Linked DNA regions of Schizosaccharomyces pombe. The gene in region 1 interacts genetically with each later gene. Each region holds a gene or a part of one and is shown on either strand. Other genes may lie near its edges.

Region 1 (7,069 bases):
ATTCAAATTTATAGTTATGAAACGTATCCGGGATGTGTTAGTTACTCATGTCCTATTTTATGATATGAAAACGGCATAAGATATTAAAAAGAAAAGGATTCTACAAATATTCTTAGTGATTACTATTTTTCATTTTTAACGCTGCCTTGTTATATCGGCTTTTGTTTACCAAGTGTATTAACTCGATATCGAGTATATTTTGATGTATACGCATGCTATACTGATTATAAAAAATTATTAATCCACAAAGTCTTAGAAATTATGAGAACTAAATGAAATACTCTTTAAAAATAGAAAAAAAGTTAAAAATATTTATGTTTCAAGTTAAACAACAATGTAAGGTTCTAGTGGTAAAGTAAGTATGTTTATTATTAGGTCGCGACGCGAGAGTACTTCGTATTTTGACAACAACACACTAAAAGTCAGAAATCAGAAGGCTATAATTTTTTATAGCACTAGAGATTTTGGGTTATTTTATATTAGAACCTTATAGTTTAAGGGTATAATTGCTTTTTTCCAGTCCTTTAAATTGTTTCGGTCGATAGGATTGATTCATGGAGAAAACATATGGGAAAACTGTATTGCCATTGAGCAGAGTAAAGAGGATAATAAAGCAAGATGAAGACGTACACTACTGTTCTAATGCATCTGCTTTGTTAATTTCAGTAGCTACTGTATGTGTGTTGTTGATAAATCAGCTATCTGGGCGACTTAGCACCATTTTGATTGCATAAAAGAAAAAGAAAAATAAAAGCTTACCTATTTTATGATTTAGGAATTATTTGTTGAAAAGTTAGCAACAGAGGCTTATCAACTTGCCAAATTACAAAAACGTAAAGGAATACGATACAGGGACGTTGAGGACGTTGTACGTAAGGACGATCAATTTGAATTTTTATCAGATTTGTTTTCTATATAATTAAAAAGTGTGAGAACTGGAAAACGGAAGCTTAAGTGTTTCCTTTCTTGTTCAGAAACTTCCTCATGAAATGAAAGGAAACAATCATCTTGTCAGTAAAATGTGATTTAATGAATTTTATTTGAGTTTTCTTCTTCGTTTTCATGCTCTTGTGTCTTTTTATCCACAATGCGCATTTTCAAACAGCTTTATCAAACAACTACTGTAGCTATTTGGATAAAATAGAACACATGTTCTCTTAAATTGGGTTACCTGATTTTTCATGTTTCAATCATGACTAATTTGCGGCCTTTGTTAGCTACATCTATAAACAATCTTAATGATTAGGAAATGGTTAAACGTTTGAACTCGATTGAAAGATATTGAAAAGCTACCAGCGCCCATCTGTATATTCTTCATTTAATTCCTTTCTCAATATCATTTGGTTCATTTATTTAAACAAAAATGCAGAGAAGGTCGAGCTTCTTTATCTAATCCCAGCGATGCAGACGTATTGCTTGCTTCATGGTTATATTCTATACCTCCGCTACCTTGCCGTGATAATGCCGTAATCGTACATTACTATACTCGAAAACTGATTTAAGATTTGTTCTGTTCTAAATTTCCGACTACCGAATGAATTACGACACTCCACCTTGTTTCGTTAATACTACTCCATTACTAACAATTGCGCAAATACTGAAAGCAAACCAGAACCAAGTAGAAAAAATGTCGGTTTACTCATTTTCAGACGTTAGTTTAGTTGCAAAGGCACTTGGTGCATTCGTTAAAGAGAAAAGTGAAGCTTCTATTAAAAGGCATGGCGTGTTCACTTTAGCTCTTAGTGGAGGAAGTTTACCAAAGGTTTTGGCTGAAGGATTGGCTCAACAGAGAGGTATCGAGTTTTCCAAATGGTAAGTTAACAGATATTATATACTTTTGAGTTGTATGGATTCACTGTGGTTTTGTTTAGCTTTGGTTGACGTGAAACACTCTGTCTTAAGGCAATTTATGATTAACAGCTCTATTTAGGGAAGTTTTCTTTGCTGATGAAAGAATTGTTCCTTTAGATGATGAAAACTCAAATTATGCGCTCTGTAAAAAGTTGATTTTTGACAAGTTTGAAGGATTTGACCCTAAAAAAATTCATACCATCAATCCTGAGCTTTTGAAAGAAAATCCTATTGACCCTCAGAATGTTGCTGATGAATATGAAAAACAATTAGTGCATGTGTTTGCAAATAGCTCCACTGTTAAGGTCCCTGTGTTTGATTTACTGCTGTTAGGATGCGGTCCTGATGGCCATACATGTTCTCTATTCCCCGATCACGAGGTACTCCAGGAAGACGTTGCTTGGGTGGCCCCAGTCACTGATTCGCCCAAACCCCCTAAAGACCGCATCACTTTGACTTTACCGGTTGTCACACATGCTCAAGCCATTGCCTTTGTTACCACAGGTGCTGGTAAGAAGGATATTTTGCCTATTGTCATTGAGGATTTTACATCTAAACTTCCAAGTGCGCTGATCACTCGAAACAATTTGACTCGTACAAGCTGGTTTGTGGATGATGAAGCATCAGCCAATCTTGAGAGATCCTCTTTGAAGGTTTTCCCTCAATAGGCAGTTCAATTTAAGCAGGTGGCCTTTAGAATGCTTAATTGCTACATGCTTCGGATTCATTACTTGTTTCTTTAAGGTCTTTCAAGGGAAAGGTTGCAGTTCTCTTTTGTTGTTCGTGAGATTCTTTGCATAAACGCTTTAGATAATGACTTTCAAAATGCTTTCAGTCACTTCCGTGGAATGCTTGATGACCAGTTTTAACACATGTTAGTAGATTAGGAGAGAACTTGTTCCTCAAATCCTCTTTGCATTTGTTGTCTGTTTTTTATTTTAGACTAGCGTATAAAGGTTAGTCTTGTAAACAATGTGTAAGAAGCTAATGCTTTATTAAATTGTTTTATTGCTTCGTTTAGAATCATGTTTAGTTGATTGATATCACTGGCCAAACCCACACTGCAGAAATATGATGTTTTAATGAAGAAATGAATCATTGAAATATATAAACTTAAGCTATCTTGTATCATTTTTTGTTGGTGATAATGTTCTAAAATGTGTTTCATCAACAAGATAAAGTAAACCAATTGTTTTTGAATTGCAGTGATATAGTTTAGCTTCAATTCTTTTATTAAATCATTAATTCATTTTTAAAATTATGCAAAATTACGGCATTTTCTCATACTGCTTATGATAGATTTTAAGCAAAGATGGAAATTTATATCCAAAAACATGCAATTGCTTAAACTCTCCTTTATGTAAGGGTTTATTAATACTTATGTGTTTTCTACAGATGGCAACCTTCTGATTAATTATCATTAGGTTAATTTGTGATAGAAGCTGTAGTGATCTTAATTACAATAGTTTACATTATAGCAAGATGTTCGACATGACTCAATAGACTAAAAATTTTTTTTCTTAGCATATTCTTCAAAACTGTAGGTCTTAAAAACAGTTTTGTTAGCTTAACATCACCTTAAGTCGTTAGTCATCGTAGAGGAGGCACTTGATATTTCCATCGCACAACATGAACTACCAAAGGCTTGAAAAGTTAGGTAAGTATGAGTTTGAGGTCCCAAAATTTGCAATTTCATTAACTTAAGTAGGAGAGGGAACATATGCGCATGTTTATAAGGGGCAAAATCGAGTGACTGGTGAAATTGTCGCTCTCAAAGTTATTCGTATTGATGCAGATGAAGGAACACCTAGTACTGCTATCCGTGAGATTAGTCTTATGAAGGAGCTTAGGCATCCCAATATTATGTCTCTCTCAGACGTTTTGCAAACCGAAAATAAGCTTATGCTCGTTTTTGAATATATGGAAAAAGATTTGAAAAAGTACATGGACACTTATGGGAACCAAGGAGCTCTTCCACCTTCTCAAGTAAAAAATTTTACTCAACAATTACTCAAAGGGATATCTTTTTGTCACGAAAACCGAGTTCTACATCGTGATCTGAAACCTCAAAATTTGCTTATCAACAGTCGTGGTGAATTGAAATTGGCGGATTTTGGGTTAGCCCGTTCAATTGGAATTCCAGTGAATACTTTTTCAAACGAAGTGGTCACCTTATGGTATCGTGCTCCTGACGTTCTTTTGGGTTCTCGAGTATATTCAACTTCCATTGATATTTGGTCAGTTGGTTGTATCATGGCAGAAATGGCTACAGGACGTCCTCTATTTGCTGGGTCAAATAATGAGGATCAGCTACTAAAAATCTTCCGATTATTGGGAACTCCTACTGAACAATCATGGCCCGGAATTTCTTTACTTCCTGAATATAAGCCTACTTTCCCTATTTATAAAGCACAAGATCTCGCCTACCTATTTCCAACATTTGATCCTCTTGGTTTGGATTTGTTACGACGGATGCTTCGTCTACAACCTGAATTAAGGACGACCGGCCAGGATGCGCTTCAACATGCTTGGTTTTTAACCGCATAGGCTGTAAATTAACATCAAAAAGTTTAACCAAATTACGATTTTATTTATTCATTTCAGTTTCCTATTGAAATCATTAATTTTTTTTTTGGAAAGAATGCATTTCACCTAGGGAAAGAGCACAATATTTTTGGACGTTCAAATTTCTTCGCAACTGTTTTAGCCCAAGTAGCTATCCCTATTGATCTTTTTTAAACGAGGTTTAGAGGTAAATATTTGGTTATTATTTTGAGAGGATTTGAAGCTGTCGAATATATTTTTAGCCAAGAATTAAACGGCGTTTTATTTTCTACGATTAAAATATCGTCGCTGATGACATTCAAGTCGTAAATGAAATACTTAAAGAATTGAATGATCCGCATTGCGTCTGACATTTTTATGAAGGAGCAAAAGGATAATATTCAAAAAGCAATGCGGGTTTTTAGTATACTGATAATAATTTGCGGATTTCAAGCAATTATCCGCAATGCACATGAAAAACAATCTTTTTTCACTTATTTTTATTAGTGGATTAATGGCTTCCTTCCCTATTATTTAACTGCATGAAGGGATTCTCTATTAATGTTCTCTTTAACCATTCGACATTTTATGTGGTTTCTGTCGTTCATTATTCTTTTTATTTACTTTCATCTATACTCCATCTTTTCAGTTTTGAGGCATCAATGGTAGGAGGTGACTAAATTTCTTTGAGTTTCGTTTAGGAAGAAGGTTCAATTTGTAAACATGAAATAATAATTGTGTCTTTTACAATTTCTTTTGAGTTTTTCTACTCGCTTGGCCCAGCAATCTATTGTTTAAGGAGATATACGGATTTGGCTTATCGTATTTTTACGACATCTTCTACCTCGCCAAATCTTTTAGTTTTACCCATACTGCTAGAATTTACATTACATGAAAAAATGACTGATACGCGAAAATTCAAAGCTACTGATTTATTTTCATTTAACAATATAAATTTAGATCCTCTAACGGAGACCGTAAGTTACCATCTACCGTACTTAAAGCGGACTTTCATTAACTCGAACAACTTTTAGTTCAATATTTCATTTTATCTCAGTTATTTGAACAAATGGCCTAGCTTGTGTGTTGTACAAGAGTCTGACCTATCTGATCCAACCCTTATGGGTTATATTATGGGGAAATCAGAAGGAACCGGTAAAGAGTGGCATACTCATGTTACCGCCATTACAGTAGCGCCAAATTCCCGTCGTTTAGGCCTTGCTAGAACGATGATGGACTACTTAGAAACTGTAGGAAATTCTGAAAACGCTTTTTTTGTTGACCTGTTTGTGCGTGCCAGCAATGCACTTGCAATTGACTTTTACAAAGGATTGGGGTATTCGGTTTATAGACGAGTTATTGGGTACTATAGTAATCCACATGGAAAGGATGAGGATTCATTTGATATGCGGAAACCACTTTCGCGAGATGTTAATAGAGAAAGCATTCGAGAGAATGGGGAAAATTTCAAATGCAGCCCAGCTGATGTTTCATTTTAGTTCACTCTCTTTTTACAAATCTATTAACTAGTGCAAAGGAAGAAGATTTTTTTTTATATTAGGTAAATGGTATAGTATGTACATCATATTAATGAAAATCAAAGTTCAGAAACGACTAATATTTGCTATGCTTTAAGACCTCGGTCCTTTTCCTTGCTTACATATTGATATTGTAAGTATTTGAAGTTTTTGATTAATGATTATGCAACTCTTTGGAACATTTTGATAATTTATCAATAAAATAATGTATCACTACACAATGGTTGAAATTTGCGTTCAGTTTCCTTTAGATAAATAGCAAATCGTCTACTAGTTACTTTATTTCTCTAATGTGAAATGGCAAACTAAATAACTTCTATTTATGTTAGCAATAAATCAATGAATGACTATACTACCCACTTCCATTCAGTCCTCTATACTTGCAAAATGAAAGACAAAACTATGTAAATACATGTAAAACATATCTTTACCAAAAATCGTAGCTACACGATCATCTGACTTAACAACTTTGCAAAAACAATTCACCACAGAAATATTTTTTTTAAACAAGTAGTAAGTAATTGCCAGCAATAACTTTTAACGTGAATTATTTTTTTAAAAGTAAAACTATCTGAAAAAAAATTTACATCATGAGCTTACAATATCAAAAGTTAAATAAAGAAATAAGAAAATATTCGAAGATTAAAAAGACGCCAGTTCAACGAAAAGAGAAGAGGCCTTTTATTTCAACCTTCTACTATATCGGTTGATTGAAAATTGACCAGAGAATTGAATGTATCTAACAGATCAGAGTGTTTCAACCTTTGTCCAACAACGGACTTTATACTGATAAATTTCACTTCATGGTTTTATTCAACCAAGTTCTTATACAAAAAGCACCTCTACAATTAAATCAGAAATCACACGCAACTTTACAGAAAATTGAGAAGGTCACAAATGAGTTATTTTATATCAAATTACGATTGATTTACTCTTGGGGGATCTCAATTTCGCCATTGTCGATCTCCTTTTGAACGTCGTGAGGGTTCTTGCCGTCAACGGTGCAACCAACAGAGAAGGCAGTACCGAGAATCTCCTTAACGGTACCAGAAAGCTCCTTAGCAAGAGACTTGAAGCGCATAGTACGGGCGACCTCAATGATTTCGTCAAGAGAGACATTGCCAGAGTGAGCGACG
Region 2 (4,221 bases), 520 kb from region 1:
TTGAAGCAATCTTACTTCCAATGATTAATTTTGTATTAGATAACAACATTTTTGACGTGTATGCAGAGTTGTTTGAAATTATCGATGGTTGCACTTTTGCTTCTAAGGAGATATCCCCTATTATGTGGGGCGTGTATGAAAAGCTTCAAAAGGTGTTGAAAGAGTCTGGCATTGAGTTTGTAGAGGAGGCAACTCCTGCCTTAAGTAACTTTATCACGTATGGTGGAAAGGAATTTGCTTCCCGTCCTGATTATATCGCCGTTATGGTTGATATTATCATGCAAGTTTTTAATAGCGAGCACCTGGCCGTCAATGACCGTGTTTCGGCTTGTAAACTAACCGAACTTTTAATGCTTAATTATCGTGGCCTTTTGGATCAATATGTGCCTGCGTTTATTGAGGTTGCTGGTAATCTCTTACTTGTAACTGAAAAGCCAACTTCTCAAACATACCGCGTATTTTTGTTGGAGGTTATAATCAATGCATTATATTATAACCCATCGATGTCTCTTGGGGTACTTGAAATGCATCAGTGGACTTTACCATTCTTTGCGTTATGGTTTGAAAATATACCTTCGTTTACTCGTGTGCATGATAAAAAGTTGAGTTTGGTAGCTATTTTATCGGTAATTTCACTGGGAGCTCAACAAGTTGCTGTTGCTATCCAAGACTCTTGGGGTAATATAATGAAAGTCATGATAACTCTTTTAAATACACTACCTGAAGCATTAGCTGCTCGCGCGGAATTAGAAAAAGAGTATGACGGTGAAACATTTAATTTATCTGGCTCTGGTTGGAATGATGGCATCGATTGGGAAGCCGATGATGATGAGGGTGTCGATGACTTTGCCGTCGAATATGGGGGACCTGATTTGGGTGGAGAAATCTCGGCTGATGTGGTTGACGATTTTGACGAATTTGAGCATTTCCAAGGAAATTACTTGTTGGACGAGGATCCTCTTTTCCATACTTTGTTAGATCAAGTTGATCCATTTTCACTTTTCCAAGAGTTTATGGTTCATTTAAAGGACAACAGCCCTGTCACATTACAAGATCTTGTCAAAAATTTGGAAGCATCCGAGCAGCAATCCTTACAGAGATTGGTAACTGAAAAACCCTCTACCCTTGCTGTCGCTTCCGATAAAACATGAGCCTGTTTGGCGCTCTAAGCCTGTCCAATTTTGGTAATAAAATATAAAAATATAAAACAAGCATTTTCTACACAGTGGTAATAAGCCAAACTGACATATTTGAACGGCTCTTTTTAAATGGGAAATCAAACTCTACGGGTTTGTAAAAATAATTTCTTCAATGAGATACGACCCGGAATTATGGCTTGGGAAAAATGGATGGAGGGTTTGTCTAAAGGGAAGGCTAAGAAAATTATTGTTGTATCGGTTTACAGTTCGGTGAAAACAAACGCAGAGGTGTGTTTCTTTTATAAGAATTTTGGAACGCCAATTGATTAAATGAAATTTAAAATCATAATATACCAGTTAATAAATATGAGAAGTTTTAAAATCGATTAATACTAGTTCATTTGCTTTTACTTTATGCGAATTGACAAACGCAAGTTGATGAGAAAATGAAATAGAAATATATTTTTCTTGAGGAAATAAGCATAAAGTTAAGTATCCACGATTTAGTAGTATAGGGAAAGTCGGTGTTTATGAATGGTATATTAGATGTACGTTGAATTAAGCAGCTAACTAAATTGATAACGGCTAGTTTAGGGGTTGGATAATATGATAAACGGCTTTTACAAACTAAATTTGATAGACAGCCCCCCATTAACGATGTTGTTATATTGATAAAGCTAAGATTTGCAAGATTTATCTTTAAAGTTATTTTAAAAAGATATCCTTCAAATTTATGATATTATTAAAAATATCATAAATATCTTTAAGAGCCAGCGTTATTATACTATTGCTTCAAACTGTAATGATATTGTTGTTATAGCACAACGCTATCATATAACAGCATTCCAAAGCCGTAACAACAGTACATTTAATCGCGGTTTTTGGGTGAAGTTAAGACCTAAGATATAGGAATACATTTTTATTAATAATATGGGACTACCCCCTAAAACTATTGTTTTAGACAATGGGGCATACCATATAAAAGCTGGATTTGCAGGTGGAAAAGTTGTGTAAGAAGAAGTGCATCACGTCAATAAATTTCATGTATCTTTTACTTTTTTCAGCTAACGATAGTTTTTAGTGAAATTCCGAATTGTTTGACGAGATCAAAAGATGGAAACAGATTATTTTTGGGGAATGAATTGGCCAACTGTAACGACTTTACAACTTTACAATTTCGCAGGGCGCATGAAAAGGTACAGCATTTATGAGGGAGTATTATTTACGAACAAAATAAATACAAAGATTATGTTTACTAATACTAGTAGGGGTATTTGGTCCATTGGAGCACAGAAACAGCCGTATGGGACTTGGTAATGCGCAATGTAGGTGTGATGGAACCTAGCATGGCAGACTATTCTTTACTGCTTACACAGCCCGTATTTACAATGCCTTCCATAGAACACAATACTATACAACTCGTGTTTGAGGAATTCCAATTCGATGCTTACCTCCCTTGCACCCCAGCTGAGCTAATTCCTTGGGATCATGGAAGTTTCACAATGAATCAAGAAGATGCGTATACTGGTCAACATGGAGAATGCGTTTTGGTAATTGACTCTGGATATAGCTTTACACACATAATTCCTGTGATTGATTTCTCTGTTCAAGAACAAGCGGTAAAGCGAGTTGATGTGGGAGGGAAATTACTTACGAATTATTTAAAAGAAGTCATCTCATACCGGAAGTACAATATGATGGAAGAAACATACATTGTTAATGAAATTAAAGAGTCCGTTTGTTATGTGTCTCAAAACTTCAAGGAGGACATGGAGATATGTCACGAAAAACCACGGTCAAAATTGGAAATTTGTTATGCTTTGCCCGATTACAGCACTGGAAAACATGGATATATTGTTAGAGATATTAATCAAAAAATAGAGCAACAAGTTTTGAATCTTTCAAATGAGAGATTCATGATACCAGAATTATTATTTTCCCCATCTGATATCGAAATACGTGAGGCTGGGATTCCAGAGGCGGTCATGCAAAGTGTCACCCACTTTCCTGAAAATATACAGGCAATGTTGCTTGAAAATGTTGTTACAATAGGAGGAAACTGTAAATTTCCCGGATTTCATAAAAGACTATCATCTGAATTACGGTCGCTGGCACCAGCTAATTGGGAAGTTAAAGTTTTTGAACCTTCAGATCCTATTTGCTTTCCATGGAAAAAGGCATCTCATATGCCGTTGGAGCACTGGAATGCGAATAAAATAACTCGTTCTGAGTACTCAGAACATGGAGCAAACATAATGACACGAAAAAGGAGAATATAATAGATCACCATTTTAAAACTCAATAATGTGGGTTAAATTTCTATCTTCACAAAATTCTCAAGGCGAGCTGATAATTCGCATCTTAAGAAATTGGTTTATTACATTAAGGCTACAGCAATATAAAACGAAAAATATGCATGCATTAAGAATAAAATCTTTTTATATTAATTAACGAATCATTCTATCTCTTGATCAACCACTAAAACAACAGCTAAATAACTATATCTTTATTATTGTCGCCAGGATAATTCATACCTAAAAAGCGTTAGCGAAATGAAAGATATTATAAAAAAGATAGGAATGAAAATCAGTATACAAGTATAAAAATTTAACCACATAGTTGTGTCTTCAAGACTAATCGATTTGTAAAGCATCATATGTAACATTCTATCTCTTCAAGTGTTTATACTTACATATTATTAATGTGCCTGAAAAACAAGATTGAAAAAAAAGAAAAATTTCAGCACTTCTTCACTACTGTTTCAAGTGCATTTTATATGTACAGTGCAGTTTCAGGTTGACAGTATAAGAGTTAAAGCAACCTTGAGTTAGAGCAGTCACGGTATACTACTTTAATTAGAATGTAGCGCGTTGCGTTGCAATGTAGTCGTGTCGCGTCTGTTTACATTTTGGATAGAAAGAGCTTTTCGTGAAATTTTGTTGCTTCTGTTGGATAAATTGTTCTTTTTCTCAAGTTAATCATATAATTCAGTAAAGGAAAACTGTGTAATAAGAAGAATCGAGATCCCAAATTATTTCTGTTGAGCCTTGTTCATGGGCTACATATATTTTCCCTCACATTT

The links. Genes that interact genetically often act in the same process or in processes that back each other up.
Region 2: mutations in pef1 (region 1) and arp6 together harm fitness more than expected from each alone (negative genetic interaction), as found in Schizosaccharomyces pombe (2 studies listed by BioGRID).

Annotation. Positions count from the first base shown.
Region 1 is NC_003421.2:684,274-691,342, forward strand, and holds pef1 (cyclin-dependent protein kinase Pho85/PhoA-like Pef1), read left to right. Parts: upstream 1-3,461; 5' UTR 3,462-3,480; coding exon 3,481-3,508; exon of another isoform or gene 3,509-3,559; coding exon 3,560-4,398; downstream 4,399-7,069. Other genes in the region: DNA polymerase epsilon Dpb3, read left to right, coding at 555-674, 776-919; pgl1 (6-phosphogluconolactonase), read left to right, coding at 1,628-1,812, 1,931-2,519; NatB N-acetyltransferase complex catalytic subunit Naa20, read left to right, coding at 5,295-5,372, 5,430-5,894; rpl1201 (60S ribosomal protein uL11), read right to left, coding at 6,862-7,069.
Region 2 is NC_003421.2:1,209,939-1,214,159, forward strand, and holds arp6 (Swr1 actin-like protein Arp6), read left to right. Parts: upstream 1-2,000; 5' UTR 2,001-2,069; coding exon 2,070-2,149; exon of another isoform or gene 2,150-2,220; coding exon 2,221-2,335; exon of another isoform or gene 2,336-2,407; coding exon 2,408-3,418; 3' UTR 3,419-3,721; downstream 3,722-4,221. Other genes in the region: nmd5 (karyopherin), read left to right, coding at 1-1,151.